4 linked regions of the Arabidopsis thaliana genome follow. The protein of the gene in region 4 purifies or fractionates together with the protein of the main gene of each other region. This does not show direct contact. Each region holds a gene or a part of one and is shown on either strand. Other genes may lie near its edges.

Evidence for each region.
Region 1: the proteins of CYCD2;1 (region 4) and AT1G14810 purify together in Arabidopsis thaliana (affinity purification with mass spectrometry, with the first as the bait; one large-scale study listed by BioGRID). This does not show direct contact.
Region 2: the proteins of CYCD2;1 (region 4) and DGR2 purify together in Arabidopsis thaliana (affinity purification with mass spectrometry, with the first as the bait; one large-scale study listed by BioGRID). This does not show direct contact.
Region 3: the proteins of CYCD2;1 (region 4) and AT4G25550 purify together in Arabidopsis thaliana (affinity purification with mass spectrometry, with the first as the bait; one large-scale study listed by BioGRID). This does not show direct contact.

The regions. Positions count from the first base shown.
Region 1 is NC_003070.9:5,101,652-5,106,918, reverse strand, and holds AT1G14810 (semialdehyde dehydrogenase family protein), read left to right. Parts: upstream 1-2,068; 5' UTR 2,069-2,285; coding exon 2,286-2,846; intron 2,847-2,958; coding exon 2,959-3,045; intron 3,046-3,146; coding exon 3,147-3,191; intron 3,192-3,286; coding exon 3,287-3,382; intron 3,383-3,478; coding exon 3,479-3,580; intron 3,581-3,615; exon of another isoform or gene 3,616-3,737; coding exon of another isoform or gene 3,738-3,767; exon of another isoform or gene 3,768-3,917; coding exon 3,918-4,072; intron 4,073-4,153; coding exon 4,154-4,235; 3' UTR 4,236-4,360; coding exon of another isoform or gene 4,361-4,481; 3' UTR 4,482-4,495; downstream 4,496-5,267. Other genes in the region: AT1G14820 (Sec14p-like phosphatidylinositol transfer family protein), read left to right, coding at 126-197, 498-756, 995-1,031, 1,119-1,236, 1,322-1,432, 1,521-1,682; AT1G14800 (Nucleic acid-binding, OB-fold-like protein), read right to left, coding at 4,361-4,481.
Region 2 is NC_003076.8:8,861,303-8,866,697, reverse strand, and holds DGR2 (transmembrane protein, putative (Protein of unknown function, DUF642)), read right to left. Parts: upstream 3,475-5,395; 5' UTR 3,269-3,474; coding exon 3,184-3,268; exon of another isoform or gene 3,178-3,183; intron 2,744-3,177; exon of another isoform or gene 2,723-2,743; intron 2,450-2,722; exon of another isoform or gene 2,425-2,449; coding exon 1,927-2,424; intron 1,831-1,926; coding exon 1,304-1,830; 3' UTR 1,021-1,303; downstream 1-1,020. Other genes in the region: AT5G25470 (AP2/B3-like transcriptional factor family protein), read left to right, coding at 1-246, 359-480, 587-844. UniProt on the Arabidopsis thaliana protein: Involved in the regulation of testa rupture during seed germination. Required during roots and rosettes development.
Region 3 is NC_003075.7:13,046,474-13,052,514, reverse strand, and holds AT4G25550 (Cleavage/polyadenylation specificity factor, 25kDa subunit), read right to left. Parts: upstream 4,149-6,041; 5' UTR 3,997-4,148; coding exon 3,878-3,996; intron 3,369-3,877; coding exon 3,323-3,368; intron 2,666-3,322; coding exon 2,572-2,665; intron 2,481-2,571; coding exon 2,407-2,480; intron 2,078-2,406; coding exon 1,991-2,077; intron 1,908-1,990; coding exon 1,797-1,907; intron 1,714-1,796; coding exon 1,642-1,713; 3' UTR 1,242-1,641; downstream 1-1,241. Other genes in the region: homolog of DNA mismatch repair protein MSH3, read left to right, coding at 4,400-5,335, 5,593-5,784, 5,948-6,041. UniProt on the Arabidopsis thaliana protein: Component of the cleavage factor Im (CFIm) complex that plays a key role in pre-mRNA 3'-processing. Involved in association with CPSF6 or CPSF7 in pre-MRNA 3'-end poly(A) site cleavage and poly(A) addition.
Region 4 is NC_003071.7:9,552,824-9,558,114, reverse strand, and holds CYCD2;1 (Cyclin D2;1), read left to right. Parts: upstream 1-1,969; 5' UTR 1,970-2,241; coding exon 2,242-2,559; intron 2,560-2,799; coding exon 2,800-2,886; intron 2,887-2,968; coding exon 2,969-3,067; intron 3,068-3,169; coding exon 3,170-3,365; intron 3,366-3,482; coding exon 3,483-3,610; intron 3,611-3,697; coding exon 3,698-3,958; 3' UTR 3,959-4,312; downstream 4,313-5,291.

The sequences.
Region 1 (5,267 bases), on a different chromosome or scaffold from region 4:
GTCTTTGTCAACATCAAAGCTCTTTACTTTTTCAACTTACTTTATCGTGCGTCTGTACGGACCACAAAAGGCTCTCTCTTTATTTCTCTGTGAGATTTTTTTAGGATCTGAGAGAGCCAAAGATCATGGAGGAAAGCCAAGAACTTGCCTTGACCCAGTTGAGAAAATCGGTCGAGAAACTCTCTTCTTCTACTGAGGTAATCTAATTCGACGCTTTAGTTTCATTACAGTTTACAAAGCTTGCATCTTTTGGCCGTTTCATGAGTTTCACTGACAATGTCTCGTTAGAAAATGAGAAATATCTGTCATTTGATTTTGATGGGTTTTATATGGGCTACACTGTTAAAACTCTGTCTCCATTCTCGTCATAGTGGTTTGTCTGATTAGGTTTGAGCCTCCCATCAGAAACCCTAACAGTAGAGACAGTTTAGTAAAAGTGAATCCATAATCAGAAAATCTCATCAATGGTTTTTGTTGTTGTTGTTTCCTCTGAAAAGGGATATGACAAACCAACATTGATGAGGTTCCTGGTGGCAAGATCAATGGACCCAGTCAAGGCAGCAAAGATGTTTGTAGATTGGCAAAAATGGAGAGCCTCCATGGTTCCTCCAACTGGATTCATCCCTGAGTCAGAAGTGCAGGATGAATTGGAATTCAGAAAGGTCTGTCTTCAGGGTCCGACCAAATCCGGACACCCATTGGTGCTTGTCATAACCTCTAAGCATTTTGCTTCTAAGGATCCAGCTAACTTCAAGAGTAATCACCTCTCACTTGCTTCTGACCTTTACTTTCGTTGGAAATAATCTGTCCCTTGACTTTCAGTGACTTTTGTATTCATAGAACTGATCAGCTTCTTTCCTGGTTCTCTAATTATTGAGTAGTTTCATTTGACTTCAAATGAATGAAGTTTTTTGAGTCCATCTATGTGTTTTCCTTGAGTTGATTCTTGCGATAATTATCTATGAACTAATCTTTTATCTGTTTGATGTTGCAGAGTTTGTTGTTTATGCGCTAGACAAAACAATCGCAAGGTGTTTACACATTATTGAAACCAAAACACTTCAATAATCTTCCGGTTAGTTGGTTGTGAGACAAGCTTTTTGGTTTTTATGTTTCAGTGGCAACAATGGCAAAGAAGTTGGAGGTGAGAAATTAGTAGCCGTTATTGATCTGGCAAACATTACATACAAGAACCTTGATGCTCGTGGATTGATCACTGGCTTTCAATTCTTACAAGTAAGCATCTCCCTTCTTCCTGAAACAATATAGTTATCACACAAAAAGAAGTCCTGTCTATTAAATTTGGAAAATGTTTCTCTAGTCTTACTACCCGGAACGCCTTGCAAAATGCTACATTTTGCATATGCCCGGATTCTTCGTGACCGTTTGGAAATTCGTCTGCCGTTTTCTAGAGAAAGCAACTCAGGAAAAGGTTTGATCTTTAATCTCCTCTTGATGTATCTATCTCTAATGGTTCTTGAGCAACGAATCACATAAATTATGATTTTGCTGTTGCATAGATTGTGATAGTTACGGATGGAGAAGAACAGAGAAAATTCGAGGAGGAGATCGGAGCAGATGCTTTACCGGAAGAGTACGGTGGCCGAGCTAAGCTCACAGCAATCCAAGATGTTCTTCTTCCTCAGGCTGCTCCAGTAACTCTAACAAACAATAATGTTTAGCTCTTTATTTTTGGAAGCATTAACCTGAATATTTGTAATGGTCAGAACATAACTAGTGGTACATCTCTAAATTTCCAAAAGAAGCAATGAAAACATGAGAAAGTAATGCGAATATATTCAATCTGGTGACTGAGTGCTCGCTCTTGCTTATCTTTTCTTATTCACATCATAAGTAAGCTGTAAAGCAGGATTGATCAACAGACCAGACTAACTTCTAGAAACTTAATGTCCTCTTGTTGTACGTGTAAGATTCCAAAGTTAGCTATAGATGTCTTTGAGCTAAAAACCAGAATCACGAGCTCTTAAATATGATCCCTAAGCCTTGTTATATGACAAAAGACTTTTCAACAACTTAATATTTCCAAAAGAAGAAATGATGAAACACATGAGAAAGTTGTGTGAATATACTCAATCTGGTGAATGAGCAGTTTCAAACATCATGCTGTTTCTGTATCTTAAATTAAACAATCTTGCTGTTTTGAATTTTGAAGATGTTGGTCAATTCACTAACACACTTTAAAGTCCCAAGCTTTTTTCTATCAGCCGCCTCCAAAATCTCTCTATCTCTCTGTCTCTCACTTCTTCTTCCTCACGGCGGCGACAATGGCGACGTTCACTCATCAAACCCCACAAACCCATTTCCTCTCTCGCCTTCCTCTCAGAGCTAAACCTAGACACTTCTCCGCAAGAGTCAAAATGTCTCTCCAAGAATCTGCGCCTTCACTCGCCGTCGTTGGCGTTACCGGAGCCGTCGGACAAGAATTCCTCTCCGTCTTATCCGATCGAGACTTCCCTTATAGCTCCATCAAGATGCTTGCATCGAAACGCTCCGCAGGGAAGCGTGTTGCCTTCGATGGCCATGAATACACGGTGGAGGAGCTCACGGCGGATAGCTTCAACGGTGTAGACATAGCTTTGTTCAGTGCTGGTGGATCCATAAGCAAAGAGTTTGGTCCTCTGGCGGCGGAGAAAGGAACCATTGTTGTTGATAATAGCTCGGCTTTTAGAATGGTTGATGGAGTTCCGCTTGTGATTCCTGAAGTGAATCCAGAAGCAATGAAAGGGATCAAAGTTGGAATGGGCAAAGGGGCTTTGATTGCAAACCCTAATTGCTCCACCATTATCTGTTTGATGGCTGTTACGCCTCTTCATCATCACGCAAAGGTTCGATTTTTATTCTGAAATCTGCTTAGTCCAAAATTTTGAAGGGTAGTTAGAGAATCAATGGAAGCTTTAGACTTTAGTGCTCTGAATAATGTTTGATTGGCTATAATAGGTGAAGAGAATGGTGGTTAGTACATATCAAGCAGCTAGTGGTGCTGGTGCTGCAGCTATGGAAGAGCTTGTTCAGCAGACTCGTGAGGTTTTGTTTCTATTTCAGCCTTCTTTGATTGAATTGTTTAATGATTGTGCTGAGTTGTGATTCTGCTTCTTCGTCTTCTTTGCATTGGTGTGTTTTCTTAGGTTTTAGAGGGTAAACCTCCGACTTGTAACATCTTCGGGCAGCAGGTGAGTGCTTAATTTGCTTATAGTTTGTATTTCGAATGTGCTGATTATGAAATCCCTTTTTGAGTAATGTGATGGTTTTGTATGTTGTTCTGCAGTATGCATTTAACTTGTTTTCACATAATGCTCCTATTCTTGACAACGGTTACAACGAAGAGGAAATGAAACTTGTGAAGGAGACAAGGAAGATCTGGGTGAGTGGTTACTTAAGTGCTATTTTGTGTTCATTTCACTTTGATCTTTTGTTCAAAAATTTTAGATATCTCACACCAATTTCTTGCCCTTCACAGAATGACACAGAAGTAAAAGTAACAGCAACGTGTATACGTGTTCCAGTTATGCGTGCTCATGCAGAGAGTGTGAATCTTCAGTTTGAGAATCCTCTTGATGAGGTAATAACACACGTCGAACCCGATTTCTACTGATTCTGTGTTGTTGTGTTACCTTATGATTTCACTCACTGATATGACAATTTGAATCATAATTTGAAGTTTTAAACCACATTCTATGGTTTTAATTTAACTCAAGCCATTGAAAAATGTGGAGCAGCATGTAATCAGCATAAGTAGGCTTGGATAGTTCTTGATGCACTTGCAGAGTTAAACCCTGAAGTTGTTCTTTGGACTTGCTCTGGTAGCATGTATTGTGATTCTTGTTGCGCAATTAAAAGAATCTTATGATCAAGTTCTTATTCAGGTTATAACGGTTTTTCTTACTGTATCATAACAGAACACAGCAAGGGAGATACTGAAGAAAGCACCTGGAGTTTATATAATAGATGACCGTGCTTCAAATACTTTCCCTACTCCACTCGATGTCTCTAACAAAGACGATGTAGCGGTTGGTAGGATAAGGCGAGACGTGTCTCAAGATGGCAATTTCGGGTAAAGTCTCACTCTTTTCTACTGAATTTGAAGCAAATGTCTTTGCGATATGCCTAAAAGGATATAACTTTGTGAATTCAGGCTGGACATATTCGTTTGTGGAGACCAAATACGCAAAGGAGCTGCTCTGAATGCTGTTCAGATCGCTGAGATGCTTCTCTGAATTTGAACCCGCTCTCACTTTGCTTCTTATGAAATTCTTGACAAAGAGATCACTGTATTATTAGATTTGAGCCAAGAATTTGTCTCATTTTTTGTTCTGTGAGTTTTCTATTTTGACCAATTTTGTTACTTTGATTCATAAAGTTGTCTCTTAAATCTGAACTCATCATGCACACGCTTGAACCTCTTGGCAATTTTCCGGTTCGAATCTGTACCGACTTGGTTGATCTCACCGAAGACAACCGGGCTCCACAATTATTTGACACACTGAAGACTGAACCAGTGGGGGCCCACTTTATTGATAGTTATAGCAAATATTTACTTGTTTAGTGGATATTATCAAATCCTAAAATCACTCCTTCGTTACTAAGACTAGGGAGGAGACCCGCGTTGTTTTTGGTTTTGTTTTTGGTTTTGTTAGTATGCACTAACCACTTCGATTTTTTTTACTGATCTTTGATTAAAAAGGGAATATCTTTGTTATTTGCTAATCTTATCTTTTGATTTCTACATTTTTGTAATCTATGTATAGTTTTACATTTTTTTTTCATGTTGTTACCGGTTATATGCTAGAATTTATAGGATAATAGACCAAACTTACTATCTTGTAAGAATATTTTTTAGAGTTATATATATCTAAGCAATGCATTTGTTACATTGGTCTTGTTTTTATATATTTTATTTTAAATTAAAAATACAATGGAAATCTCTCTCTCTCTCGCATTAAGCGGTTGCTGCAGAGGATAGCGAAGAACAGAGACTAACGACGAAGTTATTTTACACATCGTTGCCATTGTTAATTTTGGCCCAATATGAACCCGCCCATTTGTTTTTTCTCTTTGTGTCTCTGTTAAAATCTTAGAAACTACTCTTTGGTTTGGGGAAGATTTCACTTTTCAACGTCTCTTCGCGAATTAGCCAAAAAGAGTTGGATTATAACAATATTAACATTGAAAGTACGATATGCTTAGATAATTAATTAAAAGTTTGATTTTATTGTAAATATAAATTTCCTTATAACAGCAAGGAATGA
Region 2 (5,395 bases), on a different chromosome or scaffold from region 4:
ATCTGTTTATGATAGAAGAAGATTGGGATGAGTTTGTGGATGACAACCATTTAGGCCCAAATGATAACGTGTTCTTCAGACACGATGACAAGATGTTTCTTGAAGTGCAAATCTTTAAGAATGATGGGAACGAGATCATCGATGCACCTCCTGAAGTTGAACCTGAAACTGAACCATTTCATCCTACTACACCAAAAAATTCTCACAAGGAGACAACCACTGCCTCTGCCTCTGCTTCTGCTTCTGGTATGGCTATATTCAGAATGAAAGAATCGTTTTGATGCTCTTCATACTCAATACTACTCTTTTCTTTTCTCTCAATGCCAAAGTTTGCTTCTTTTTGTTTCTGTTTTGGCAGAATTTTCAGACAATTGGCGAGAGACACATGGTTGTGCTGATATCAAAAACCCTGAGCTGTACCTTCTAAACCCCAAAAACCCTTACTTTGTGAAAACGCTGACAAAAGGGAATGACGTTTTGGTAATAAGAGCAGTGTTTTCATCAGTTTTGATTCTAGTTTACGTTTGTTGCCTCTAAATCTAAGACTTATCTTTCTCTCTATTTCTCATGTACAATGTGCAACTAGTATGTGCCCAAAACAGTGATTAAGAAGTATGGCTTGAAGTTTGGTCCCCATTTGTCCCCCATGCATTACCTTCTTCCCGGAGATAAAATAAATGGCTCCACTAAGATCTATGGCGGTGGCAGTGCCCCTTGTTTCAATGGCTGGGTGGACCTATGTCGAAAGTACAATCTGAAAACCGGAGACTCTATGGTTTGTGAACTTGAACGCTCTGGAGAACTGGTTACTGCTGTTAGAGTGCACTTCATCAATAAAACATGAGATGAGTCCTCTCTAGTCTCTTTTCTTTAACATTCGTGTTTACCAAACTTACTATTGTAATGTTTATATGTGACCCTTATGTTGCTTTAACAAAACTTAAATGCTAAATTTCTTATGCTTCTGTTACTTCATTGGAAATGCTCGATTGTGATTCAGTCTTATATGCTCGTGAGAAGTAAAATATGCATACAACTTTATTGTAAGTTTTGTAACTCTTCCATAAAAATTAAAAGGCCTAGATACATAAGATATAGGCAACGTTTCTTTTGCCTTCTCATACAAGAAAATACAATATAAGCAAAGGCCCATCTGCCTATATAAAACCCTAACTCTCGTAAATAAAACTCTGTTTTTTTCACCTTCTCGTTTCAATAAAATCCAACACACACCAAAGACAGTTTAAGGAAAATAAAAGAAGACCACACGATGCATTTTCTTGTAATAGGATTGGTGATTCATCTATGGTTTACGAACGCTTATAAGCTTGACATCATCGATCACAGGCCCACACAATGACGAGAAATCATCGCTCCTCATGGCATAGAAAGTGCTGTAGAACATAATTCTTGATCGGGTCGAAACCGCCACAAATCGAATAGAAGCTCGTTTAAACCCTCCTGTGCCTTTCGACTCGTAAGGGACCTTAAGTGTATCTTTTCCTGCAAAAGCCTCAACCACCATTGATCCTTTGCAAGCATTGTTGGCGTCTCCAACCGCAAAAGACAGCACGTAAGTCTTCCCAATGACAGTCCGAACCACTTGAGCGATGGCACTCTCTTTACCCGCTACAAGCTCAATAGCTCTGCGACCCTGTGGGACTGAGAAATGTTCAACGTCTACGTACTTGACAGCTTTGAGAGACTCCACCATCCATCCAGGTAAAGGAGAGTGGTCGTCTTCTATAAACGGTGGGATCAAAACTCCAGTTGTCGAGCCGGGTAATACTAATGGACCTTCTTCAAATCCTCCGTTTTTCAAAATGTTCTCTGCCAAATCAAACATAAAAGAAAATCATCATTATTCACATGTTCAAGGATTATAAAAACAGAGCAAGAAACAGAGTATTTATAGTAATGACTTACTATTAGTTGGTCTAGGAGGGTAAAGAGATCTCATAGCAACACCATCAATAAGTGGACCACAAGCTGGATCTTCCTCAACACCAGGATTATGAATCACAACTTCAGCAACATCACTCTCAGCTTGAAACGCCCAAGCATATAAATCCCAACCACTACTACTATAAACCGTCTGAATCGGAATCACACCGGAGTCAGGTGCTACAGATATGTTAAGTCTCTCGTCTTGTGCACAAGTTCTAGCAGCACTAAAAGTGAGTGAGTAATACATTCCTTTAACCACTTTAAGTCTTTGTTTGATCGATGCTTCGTTCCCAAGTCTTACAGCGAATTTACCGGCGGGAACAACGAGAAGCATGTCTCCTTGTTTATGTCCTGATTTAATGTATTCGACGAATCCTGTGACTTCCCAGTTTGGTATTGCTAGTTTGTTTAGTATTTCTGTTCCTTTCATGTCTGATGGTTTTGGTCCTAGCTCGAAGTCTCCGTTTGGTAACATGCCTGTGGATATTATCAAAATGTCCTTGTGAATATTAGGAATTTTGGAATTTTTTTAAAAGAAAAAGATATACATAGAGCACGTGAGGTGTGTCCGAAGACAGCCTAAACTGGTCCTAAATGTAACATGAACTAAAGGACCTACTCTCAACTTCATTGATTGGAAATGTCCAAAAACTTTATGGTGTTGTGTTTGTGTCAGAAACATGGGCAAAGGAAGCTGTAATTTTTATTACATCGTCTTCTTAAAAAATCTAAATTTTAAAGCGTAACAAAACGAATATTTTTATTTGTTTTTAAGTACTATCGCTAGCAGAGGCAGGTTCGTACTAGTGATACCAACAAAGTTATGATTCATAACCATTCAGAAACTTTTTTTTAGGTACCAGCATTATATTGATTATTCATATCACAATTATAATTATAAGATTTTATTTCTCGCTTCTATATAAAATTTTGAGTGAAATGAGTTTTTGTTCCCACTAAATTTGTGAAAATAAAAAATAAAATTGCCATAATTTACTGTACACAAAGGTTGAAAATTGGATTTGAGGTACAATTTAAGCTTTTTTTCTTCAAGATATATCAACATAAAAAAAAAGGTATGTTAATATACTTTGAAGGAAAAAAAAAACTTGAATTGTATAGTACCCCAATTCCAATTTTCAGACTTGAAAGTGATAAATCAGAACTTTGTTATTAATGTAGTAAACCGGAATATGTAATGAATGTATGTGTATGTATATGTGTAAATAGAGTTACCGTCACGGAAGGAGACGGTGGACTTGGCGGCCATGGCGGTGGCGATGAAAAGAAGGAAGAAAGACACGACGGTGACGCCTTCCATATTGACGGAAGAGAGAACGAGATGAGTGTAAAATGTAATTAGCAAAGAGAGTTGTGGCTATTGCTTATAAGGGGATAGAACTATGAAAATGACCTTGGAGGTTTCTATATATTACGAGTGTGTGCCACTGTGGCTAGTTGGTATCCCACGTGGGGTTGTGACCTCATTCCTTTTCAGAGATTTGGAACCTTATTGACCATTTGGGGTTACTTCCGGAATAAAAAATTTGTAAAAAAAAAGTATTGTTTTGATGCAATTATATTTGCTGTTTATTGAGTCAAGCTCTGTTTAGGCTGTGACTGGGGAAGCCAGAAGTGTCCAATTGGGACAGGTTTGTAGATGATTAGAGGTAATTGCGTATAAACAGGTAATGGGCAGGAGTATTTAAATATATTGCTAGAAATATACGGAATAAAATATTAAATTTACTAAATACCGTTTTGGCTCGGATTCGGATAGTTTTAATCGTATAGTTTTGATCGGATTCGGATAGTTTAAATCGTCTAAATTACACTTCGAATTCACTAATTCTGATAAATTTTCACATCTTTAAGATATGAATATTTTGGATAATTTTGAGAAATTGAAAATATGTGTTAATGTCTAATCTGTAAATTAAATTGTAAATAAAACAAAAAAAATAAAATGAGTATAGGTCGGATCGGAAAAAGTGTTTCAAAACCGCCTGAAACTAAAACTACCAAAAACAAAACACTAAACATAACTATAAACTTATGATCATGATCCCTTATCCACATGCTATAAACACTTAAGTCTAAGATTGTGAAAATAATTGAGATGTTTTTTAGTAATCTTACATCTGAATCTACGTGACAAATATGATTAATTATGATAGTAACTGGGAAATGCCAAATTGGTCGTTTAGATCATCGGTGGACAGATACTATTACTAGGAGAATCGTTTATCGTGGCATGTGTTACACCCACAAATCTCTTCCTTTTGAAACTTTTTTTTAAGTCTTTTGTCTTCTTCGTGCTCTTTTTTGGTTTGTTTCTTGGCTGTATTTTTAATAACAAAATTGAGAATAGTCTATGGTATTAAGGGCGCCGTTCAGTGGCTAAGAATGCGGTTTCCAAAGTCGGCCATGAAGTTGGCCTCAGAAAAATTCAGAATCGTGTCTTCTTCTCATTCTTATCGTCCCAAGAAATTGCATTTTCTAAAGGATTTCATTTTTAAAAACAAATACTCTAAAATCATTTCTAACTACCTGTCTTATGTTCGGTTTTTGGAATTTAGCTCCGCCAAAACCACCAATATATGCGTTCTTTACTCTTAGAGATCAATATTCTAATCAGGTGTGCTTTACGTTTTTGGTCTTAACTACACGTTTATTTTAGTGGCCGAATCATTAAACAAACAGGATGTGTTGCTCTCTCTTTAGGGATATGTGTTGTAGGAACGATTTACGAGAACGTTCATTCGAACGTGAGGATGAGGATGTACACTACTTCGCATGGTCACGGTCATGCAACTGTTCTGATGCGACTGTTTATGGCATCGAAGATTTGTACATTCTTCTATCAATATGCCATATTGTTTTGTAAGAAATGGTATTGATTTTGATGTAGTAGTTTTCTAGTGATATTTGTTTTTGAGCTAAATAAATTCGAGATATCGTTCTAACGATTATAATAAAACCACAAATAGTTCCCACCTTATATAATATGACTTGATGTATATATTTTACTCATATCTAGTGTGGACTATCTATCTTTTCTACTACCTTGTTGATTATAAATTTAAAACCGTGTATTTCTACACATACTTACGGTTGAAAATCTAAAATGGCTAGTCTTATTTGTAATATTTATCATATATCAGAAAAACGTAACACGTAGCTCCAATGAAAGAACTGTTTCTAATGGATCCAATTAAATGTTGATTAGGACTTATAAGACCCAAGTTCGAACAAACAACAATCACTATTTAAAATGTTGAATCTAAAAAAGATAAACAAGTGTATAATAAGAGTGAGAGAAGAACCAAAAAAAGACGAGGAACCGTCGAAAACGTGGGTGGGGCATGGGTAACGAACGTAGTGGAACCCATACAAAAAAGAAGAGATCAAAGCAAAAGGCAGGATCATGGCTTTGTCTCCTCTTCAT
Region 3 (6,041 bases), on a different chromosome or scaffold from region 4:
GTCTCAATACTATATATGGTGATTGAGACAACATATATATCACCAAACGTCCACAGATAGAGCCTACATACTTGGTGTTAAGAAATGACCAAATGGGCCTGCTTAGAGTAAATGACAAATGACATATATATTTCTATTTTTATGAAAATTTGGGATATAATTTATGTGTTAATTTCTTATGAGTATACTGTATGCATTTGTATAAGCAGTGAGGAGAAAAGTCATAATGGAATATGTAAGGATTAATTAGGTGTCAAAAGTCTGCTTGGATAAATTTAAATTATTGATATAATGTTCCAACTTAAAATAAATTAGCAATTTTCAGTATATATAAGATTTGAGATTCCTACCTATAAAAAAAAAAAAAAAGAAGAATCTTTGCTTGTTTTTGTTCTTTCACTTTGTTTTCTTATTGTTTGTTTTCCTTATATTTACTTCATTTATAATGGACGATGCCTTAAGAATTTACACACTAATCAGATAACATCTTCATATCCAAAAATCTCTAAAATGTCGGCAAGAATTTTATATTAACGACTTCTTTAATTTATGTTTAAATCGCGTCAATGAGTTTTTTGGTTAGAAACGATCATCCGGGTGGAATAATCTGTCTGATTCAATCCAATGATTGTGAATAATGAAGTAATGATTATAGAGAATCATCCAATCTGTTAATCTTTTCGTAAAGCATCATTAGCAAGCAGACAAATTGCATTTGCTAATACAAGTACTTGAAATAATTATTATATGATTTGAGAGCTCTTTTTCTCTTAATTATAAAATTTTGTAGTGAAGTCAACATTGAGCTCCTATTTGCTGCTAGTAATTATTTCATATTTTTTCCTCTCACGATGTTTTTCTTACATTCACACTGACAAGTGGACCAATAATAAGAGTTATTTGAGGAATATTGTGAATTTCAACAATTTGAATTCCTTCTGTCCCGATCGAAATGGCCTGTCCCAATTTTAAAAATACTCTGATTTTGTTTTTTACTTGTTGGCTCTTTTGGCCTGTGGAAAATGACGAGTAAAGAAAATTGAGAGGGAAACAATAAAAAAGTGTCTACCTTGTCTTGGTCGTCTTGATAACATAATATAATTTGCCGTCAAACTAATCCCCAATGAAACACGACTAATAAATTTTATACATCTAATGTTATGATGACTTAATCCTTAGCCCTCGGAGAATAAATTTTATACATCTAATGTTATGATAACTAGGATACTTTAGATTGTTCGTCTACAACAAAACTTCTCCTCCTTCGACCATTAGGCCTTGTGGTATGTTGATAAAACTTTATGAAATATGTTGACAAAGAAGGTTAAACATGGCTTAGTTTTATGCACCAAAATAAAAACATCATTCAACATTGAATGAAACACATGTTTTACGGTTAGAGAAGACAGGCGTTAGTCAAACAATGACAAATGCTTTTAAAAATGAGATACAATAATCTTTGTTTTTTGTGCTGACACTTTGAACCGGTTCTACATAAAAGCCAACAAGTCTATAATGCAAAAAACCCAACTCGCATCATTGGAAAACCCCATCTCTAATCCGGTAGCTACAGCTCTCTACCGTACCTAAGTAACTTACCCATCTGATAGGTTCCTTGTTCTTGAACACACCGAGTCGAAATCACGAACTAATCATGTTGAAATGGAATCTGGATAGCTGCTGCGGAATGGTTGATATAACCGGTCCATATCTCTGTTTCAAGAAAATAATATACGGTTAGATGTTTGAGGTAAAAACCATTTTCCAAAGGTTGGTATTCTGGATATAAGCAAAACCTGAACATTGTCATAGAGTTCGAACAAAGGGACGGCCAAGAGCTTCAAATTTTTGGGCACAGCAAAGTACTCTTTCTCAGACAAGTGAACAATGTAGAGTCTCTTGCATTCCTGCCATTCCACAAAAAAGAGGAGATATAAGGAGAAGAGTAAAGGGAAATTCTGAGAAGCTTTACATTGTGTTTTTTTACTACCTTTGGTTTCGTGATGTGAGGAGGGCAATACGGGTACATCATGGTTTCAAAGTTTGGACGCCACCATGTCGCAACACATTCTCCTACCTGTTAAAGGGACATAAAGTACCCAACGGATCAGGGACAGAGCTATATACATAACTCAATCAGACAACTGTGGACTCATGGCAAAGTCTTCTTTCTTCATCTAGTACGTATATGATTCTCTAGCAAAGCTACCAGGCCTATCCTTGTTTTCTTTTATGAACCCTCATTCCTGGCATGCTTAAGTGTAATAACCAAAATAATTTCAATTGCTTCTCGTTTGCTTTAAGAGCAAGCACATGCAACACCAACCTAGTTCTTTTAAGGCATCTATCTACCCCTAAATATCTTGTCACTATCACTCAACGAAAAAGAAGAAACCAGAATAGTACCGTCCAGTCAGGTACAAGAGCAGCCGAATTGCCTCCAAGTTTACTGGTCAGCTTTCTTTTCAGACCATCAGCTTCTGCAGACACAACATAGTACACCCAAAACTTAAGCAGCCAAGAAACTCATAACAGTGTAGAAAGTATTACTAACGGGTGGTAACTGTATACCATTTTCACCAGGCTTCAGGCGTCCACCTGGAAGTTTGCAGAATGTGTTACCAATTTGTAGCAGAAGTATATGAGGATGGTTGTGTTCTTGCACCTAATATGTTAAGCAGCATAAGGTATTAAGAAGAATCTTAGGTTAGAGAGATATCACTAAAATCAAATCAAATTAGGTGGTAGTAATTGCTAGACTCAAACGCAAATTATTTGAAGCATATGATACTCCATGGGAAAATATTAAAGCTTGGAAGGGCAATGGTGCATACAAACAATGAAAGAAACGGAACAATAAGATGCATCAATAAATGGCACCCTTCACTTTTATGACTCTTATTAAGTGCAGGTTAAGTTCATTGGATCCATAAAGCTTGTGACTATATATTAAGGTCAGATTAATCCACTTATGTGATTCGAGCTTCTTCGTAATATAAGGTTACCCAATCAGTACAAAATTGTGTTGGAGATGGCAACTAGAAAAGGAAGTAGATGACTTCAATCAAAATATCACACAGATCTATATCTCTGCCAAGTTTTAAATGATACATTGGGTAGAGAACACATATTTACAGAGAACGCTACGATTAAGTACAAATAAAGTGACACTTCAGTGGCATTATGTATATGACAGTATGGCCACTCAAGTCTTGAACCACATAACTGTACCACCGATTTTAAGACAGTGGGCAGTTAAACAACACAGAGAAAACTACAGAAGAGTTGGATAACAAGTAGAGCAGATCGAAAATTATCATACCAGTAGAATCCCTTCAACGCTAGTCCTCATGCCCTCTTTCATATAGCTGCAACACCCCATTAAGAAAACAAGAAAGAGATAATCAGACTCCAGAATGTCTTAAGTAAGAGCTATCAAATTCCAGACTTCATGTATCCATGTAAAAAGCATGAGACTTTACTTGCAAAACTAAAGTATTGTATAACATATACAGTAGCTATATCTGTTCCCTAATCAAATCATTCACTGGAAATTTAAATAGCCTATAGCTGTTCTTTGTTCACAAAAAAAAAACACAGATCGTTGGAAGAAGTTGTTCTAACAATATATGTACCACCAAGTTGTAGTTTTGAAACCTTAAAGTTGTGTAAAATGGCCAAAAGATTATTCCTTTAAGGAGAAGCTAGTAAATTCAGCAGCAGCGAGAAAGCAGATAAGCATTTAGAAAACATCGAGATCATGATCTAAGAATGTAAAAGCCTGGAGATTTCTAGGGTTTTCAATTCTCAGGCATCTTCTCCAGCAGTAGCTATAAGAAGAAAACAAAAAAGAGAAAGAAGGAAAGAGGAATCGTACTTGATTTTCATACGAGCGAGCCGGTCGGCGACGGAGGTGTCCTTTTCCAGCTTGGGTTCCTTAGTTCCGAAGCTGTAGTTCGAAAGCGGGTACGTGTTCACCACCTGAGACATAGCCATCTCTCTCTCTCAACAGAATCCACTTAGACAAAATATGGTGAAATCTTCTTCGCCGTGTGTGTTTCTCTGTTTCGATCTATCACTCAGCGGTGGGGACGGACGGCAACGGGGAGAGAAGCGATCTCGACGGAGAATTAATGACACCACCAACTTCTAGAGTATACTCATTTGTTATAGTGGCACTTTAGGCCCATTTAAAAAATACCGGCCCATTTATAAAGACCCGGCCCATAATAACCGCTCCGAACCGATGGCTTCGTCACTTTGTTGTTCAGTGACAGTGATGGATTAGAGAGATTGGCAACCTAAGAAAGCGCGCGAAAATTGGCAACCCAAGTTCGCCATAGCCACGACCACGACCTTCCATTTCTCTTAAACGGAGGAGATTACGAATAAAGCAATTATGGGCAAGCAAAAGCAGCAGACGATTTCTCGTTTCTTCGCTCCCAAACCCAAATCCCCGACTCACGAACCGAATCCGGTAGCCGAATCATCAACACCGCCACCGAAGATATCCGCCACTGTATCCTTCTCTCCTTCCAAGCGTAAGCTTCTCTCCGACCACCTCGCCGCCGCGTCACCCAAAAAGCCTAAACTTTCTCCTCACACTCAAAACCCAGTACCCGATCCCAATTTACACCAAAGATTTCTCCAGAGATTTCTGGAACCCTCGCCGGAGGAATATGTTCCCGAAACGTCATCATCGAGGAAATACACACCATTGGAACAGCAAGTGGTGGAGCTAAAGAGCAAGTACCCAGATGTGGTTTTGATGGTGGAAGTTGGTTACAGGTACAGATTCTTCGGAGAAGACGCGGAGATCGCAGCACGCGTGTTGGGTATTTACGCTCATATGGATCACAATTTCATGACGGCGAGTGTGCCAACATTTCGATTGAATTTCCATGTGAGAAGACTGGTGAATGCAGGATACAAGATTGGTGTAGTGAAGCAGACTGAAACTGCAGCCATTAAGTCCCATGGTGCAAACCGGACCGGCCCTTTTTTCCGGGGACTGTCGGCGTTGTATACCAAAGCCACGCTTGAAGCGGCTGAGGATATAAGTGGTGGTTGTGGTGGTGAAGAAGGTTTTGGTTCACAGAGTAATTTCTTGGTTTGTGTTGTGGATGAGAGAGTTAAGTCGGAGACATTAGGCTGTGGTATTGAAATGAGTTTTGATGTTAGAGTCGGTGTTGTTGGCGTTGAAATTTCGACAGGTGAAGTTGTTTATGAAGAGTTCAATGATAATTTCATGAGAAGTGGATTAGAGGCTGTGATTTTGAGCTTGTCACCAGCTGAGCTGTTGCTTGGCCAGCCTCTTTCACAACAAACTGAGAAGGTACGTTTATCTGTGTACGAGTAAATATTACTAATTCAAGCATTGTTGATTAATTTTGAACAATTTAGCTCCTCAGTTAGTTTTACAAGATTCTGTCTATACTAATCCCTGAATCCTTCCTGATGAACAGTTTGACAAGAATCTTTGTCTGTATGTATAATCACTATATGGATTAGTTTTGAAGACTAGAACTTCTGTTCTTGGTCGATGTGTATACATGTACTGATAGATGTTCGTGTGGTATCTTTGTTTGGCAGTTTTTGGTGGCACATGCTGGACCTACCTCAAACGTTCGAGTGGAACGTGCCTCACTGGATTGTTTCAGCAATGGTAATGCAGTAGATGAGGTTATTTCATTATGTGAAAAAATCAGCGCAGGTAACTTAGAAGATGATAAAGAAATGAAGCTGGAGGCTGCTGAAAAAGGAATGTCTTGCTTGACAGTTCATGTATGTCATTTGACTTTCTAAAAACTTTCCCTTTATTTTATTTTTTATGATGATCTGTTAATGCGATATTGTTAATGACCACATCTTGCTTTCAAAAAGTTTTTTTCATCTATTAAATGCTTACTGCAATTCCTGCTAATTTATTCCTTCGTTGATGGTGCAGACAATTATGAACATGCCACATCTGACTGTTCAAGCCCTCGCCCTAACGTTTTGCCATCTCAAACAGTTTGGATTTGAAAGGATCCTTTACCAAG
Region 4 (5,291 bases):
TTCAATTGATATGCATGCTGCTTCATTGCTTAGTTGTTTAGTTCTTTACATTCTCCTTAGTATAGTTGCATTTGAATTTGGTATTGCATGTTAATCTATTGTTTAAGTTCAATAGAAACCCAAACCTTATCATATTTGACTTGACTTGACTTAAATAATTGTTGTTTATGTCTTGAATATTTGCAATCACACAAAGGATTGGATTGATACCCTTCTATGCTGCAATGATATTGATATGCTTAGTAGGGAATTCATAGATCATTGAGATAGTAAAGTATAAAATGGTTCTCTGAGACAAATTTTTGGCCTTGGTTATAAAGAACAAACTGTTTAGTATTGCTGAGATGTGGCATGTAGTTGTTATAGGCTCTCTGATTCTGAATGTAATTTATCTATTCAGTTTGAGAAGTCTCTCCTTCTTGGATTTAGAAGTATTTTTCTTTAGTAATATAGTGGGATGGCCTCAGTTGAGATAATAAAAGCGTGTCCAAACGAAACTGATAGTTTTGATTCCAAATGGAGATTATTTTCTAGAACCTAAAAACCCCAAAACAAAAAAAAAATCCGGAAATAAAGTTGTTTAGTAATTTTTCTTCAGTGACTTCCACTCCTTAGATAATCAATATCGTAATTGTTGTCATTGTTACTAGAAAACACATAAAATAATTTCCAAAATTTATATGTTAAGTAATATGTTGGAAACCCTAAAATCTGATGTTTGCTTGAGCTCATATCGCAACTTGTACGTTTACGTGAAGTCTAATCCACATCTGACTACTGCTAAAGTTAGTTTATCCTATTTAGTTTCTTCTGTAGTGGGGATATAATTTTCATAATCGTGACCGCTTCATAACAATGTCGAATGGGCCAAATCCGCGAACACTTCACCTAGTTAAAAGTTAAAAACCTAATAAAGGTGAGTTACATTACCTAAATCTTGATTTGAACTAAGCAATTTTCATGCTATGCGGGTTAGATTTCTAAAATTATTAGATCATTTATTAGCAAATATCTTTTGTATCAGATTACTTTGCCATATAACTAGGTGTTTAAGAATAGAGGAAGGATGTGAACACATGTTGAAAATGATGTCTAAACGATCGAATCCAAATTAACACTTATAAATCGATCCGGAAAATCATGAAAATGAAAAGAAATGTATAGTGTTAGTTAAACTGTAATTAACTTAAACATGACAAAATATTTTATATAAGTGAAGTTACTAAATGATTCGTCTTAATAGAAACATAGCCTTAGCTATATATTTTTTTCCTTAGGTTGGATGTTTCCACAACTCCGCATTTCATATTTTGTTTCTAAGGTTATGTGGTGGTAGTCCGATGTTTTAGGTCAAGTTTTGGTCGATGGTTCTTCTTTCTATCTTTGACATTTTCTTTTCTTGGCTTTCAATCAGTCTTTCATATCTACTACAGCGGTAAAAACAGTTGGGCGTCTTTAAGTTTATTCTACTCTAGTTCAAAATCATAAGTGATTGAGATCTTATTAGTTATTGTTTTTTCGGTTTATATCTCGACGTTACCGATGTTGGCGAATAGCACAAGGTTCCCTAACCTTAACCTCAAAAGAAAGATCCACTAAATAGAAGTAAATAAAGCATATGATTCAATTTCAGAAGTTTACAAAACACTAAACAAGAACATGAAAACCAAAAAATAGTGAATTGTCTTCTTTTTTGGGAATAGTATCTCTGGAGATTTCAACATTTATGACCAACTTATTTTTTTGGAATACTTTTTTTTTATCGTTGACTTTATGTAATTTCTAAATTTTACTATGACAATTTTTTTTTTTTTTTTTTTTTTGTCGTTTTTACTATGACAATTTAAATTTAGTTTATAAGGACTTGTGATATTAAACTATTAATAACAATATGATTTAAATTTTAAATATAATTTATATTTCCACATATTGTTCTTAGTGTATATTCTCTGTATTTTCCATTTCGAGTCTGTGGAGTGGTCTCTCCCCTCTCTACCCTAAAACACACTCACCCACTTTCCTCTGTATAAGCCTCTCTCTCCTCTCTCTTCTCCTCTGCCATGAAAATCGCAGTTCCTCAAGACAAAACCTCCTCAGAAATCTCCCATCTTTGATGACTTTTGCTTCCTTAGTTTTCACTTTCTTGTCCGAACGCTCTCAAAAACTTTGAGACCACCCCAATAAACGAATTAAACAGACTATTATCAATCAATACACAACACAACAATCAAACCAAACCCCATGGCTGAGAATCTTGCTTGTGGTGAAACCAGCGAGTCATGGATCATTGACAACGACGATGATGATATCAACTATGGCGGCGGATTTACGAACGAGATTGATTACAATCACCAACTTTTTGCTAAAGACGACAACTTTGGCGGCAACGGATCAATTCCGATGATGGGTTCTTCTTCATCGTCCTTGAGTGAAGACAGAATCAAAGAGATGTTGGTGAGAGAGATTGAGTTTTGCCCTGGAACTGATTATGTTAAGAGATTGCTTTCTGGTGATTTGGATTTGTCTGTTCGAAACCAAGCTCTTGATTGGATTCTAAAGGTATGTGATTTCTTCTTTTGATTGCTTTGATCTGTGTTGTGTTTTAAGACAAACCTCAAATCTGGTTTGGTCTCTTTTTGTGCTTTGTGATTGAGTTTAAGTGTGTTCTTTGATCAGTTTGATAGCTCATTCATTCTCTGATGTATTTATTATAGATTAATTGAATCTTCTCTATAGATTGAGGTATTGATCTTGTTGAGTAATTGAGTTCTTTTGTCTTTAATGCCAATTGTTCTACAGGTTTGTGCTCATTACCATTTTGGACATCTGTGCATATGCCTATCCATGAACTACTTGGATCGGTTCTTAACATCCTATGAATTGCCGGTAAGTTGCATCGTCTTTGCGGATTGGTTTCATCGTATTCGAGACAATACGATGACCGGTTTGTGTGTTTTCGATTGCGTAGAAAGACAAGGATTGGGCTGCTCAGTTACTAGCTGTGTCTTGCTTATCATTAGCATCCAAAATGGAAGAAACTGATGTGCCTCACATTGTTGATTTACAGGTGCAACTTACATTTAGTCCTTAATAGCTTCAGTCTTCTTACGAAGAGTCGAAAATCGAGGTTTTAGTGGAACTAATCTTGAAATGTTGTTCCTATGAGCAGGTGGAAGATCCCAAGTTTGTTTTTGAGGCCAAAACAATAAAAAGGATGGAGCTTTTGGTTGTCACCACTTTGAATTGGAGATTGCAAGCTCTAACTCCATTCTCCTTCATTGATTATTTCGTTGACAAGATCAGTGGTCACGTGTCGGAGAATTTGATCTATAGATCGTCAAGATTCATCTTAAACACCACCAAAGGTGCGTCATTTATTGATCAGAAGCAAGCTATAACAACATTCTTTCTTTATTTGCAACTAACTTGGCTTTGTTTAATGAGGAAGGCTGATACGTTTCTGTTTATAAAATTGAATGCAGCAATTGAATTCTTAGACTTCAGGCCTTCTGAGATAGCTGCAGCTGCTGCAGTGTCTGTTTCCATTTCAGGAGAAACAGAATGCATTGATGAGGAAAAGGCACTGTCTAGTCTCATATATGTAAAACAGGTAATTAACATTCGGTATGATAGCGAAAGACTTAAACCTTTACTGTTTCAAGAACACACATTTCATCTGATCATTGTCTTCCTTTAGCAGGAGAGGGTGAAGAGATGTTTGAATCTGATGAGAAGTCTCACTGGGGAGGAGAATGTGCGGGGAACTAGTTTATCGCAGGAGCAGGCGCGAGTTGCGGTAAGAGCTGTACCTGCAAGTCCAGTTGGAGTGTTGGAAGCAACATGTTTGAGCTATAGGAGTGAAGAGAGAACAGTTGAGTCATGTACAAATTCCTCACAGAGTAGTCCAGACAACAACAACAACAACAACAACAGCAACAAGAGGAGGAGAAAACAATGAGAGAGAATAAAAGAGTCATACATTGCTTTTTACAACCCAAAACCACAAGTACTCATGACATTTGAGGTTCTTATTTATTTTTTTGGTTTTTTTTTTCTACATAAATTTTCTTTTTCTTTCTTTGATTTCTCATTTTCAATCTGAAAATTGGATTGAATATGAGAGTTTTGTGAGAAAGGAAAAAAGAAAATAAGAGAGAGAGAGAGAGCTCTTTGGAAGGCGGCAAAATTAATAAGTCATTATTGATGATGATGAGAGACATCCCTGTTCTTGCTCCAAGGGACTTTTTTTTTTCTACATAATGTCAGAGATATAATTAAAAAAAAAAGAAATAGAAAGAGAATTAATTTTATGATTTTTGTGTCCTCAAATATGCACTATAGTATATATCTTTTATTTTAACATATGTCAGAAGTTATAAAGTATCATATAATGCAGTAGAGATTATTTTAAATTTATATTAAAAAAAACTTTTATCACAGAAAAATCTATATTCTCTCCATTTTACAAAAAATTTGTTGTTCCTATAAATATGCATATATCATGTTAAAAAAAACTGTTGTTCCGATAAATTTTTATCACATAAAAATCTATATTTTCTCCATTATCGGAACATACAATTTTTTCTAAACTGTTCTAAATCACATCGTAGTGACATGAGATTACATTTTTGTGAATGTAGTATTGAATTGGAACACTGTAAATATTGATGACTCTAGTACCTATAATTTAAATTCAAATTATTTAGAAGCTTTTCAACAATTAAGTAAGATATTCCTAAATATTTTCAACAATTAAGTAAGACATTTCCAAAAAAAATTTAAAAATAATACTAAATTTGTGCTATTTGTGGAACATTCGAAAACATGTGATATTTTTTTTGAAACTAAACTTATTTTTGCCCTTAAATATATTCAAGTTCTTACTATTCTCAAGAACTTCTAGTTATAAAAAGAAGTACAATTGACATTATTTAAAATTAAAATAATTTCTAAAACGATATACAAGAGAATTTATTTTTAAAAACCCTTACTATTTACCTGGTTACTGGTTAGTAACTTATTACATATTAATACAACCCTTGAATTTTATGTATTTTTACTATTATCTTTGCTTTGAAAAAAAATATCTAATTTTCCCAACAACAAAAATACTTAATTGGTTTAAAAGACAATTGCATGTTTTGGGGATTGGAGAAGAGAAAACCACAATGGGCCCCGAAAAGAGTTTAGTGGGCCCATTTATTTTTGTTTTGACTGTGCGACCGGTCAACATCTCTCTCTATCTCTCTCCTCGTGTCTGAGAAAACAGAAAAAATAATAATCTCTGAGCA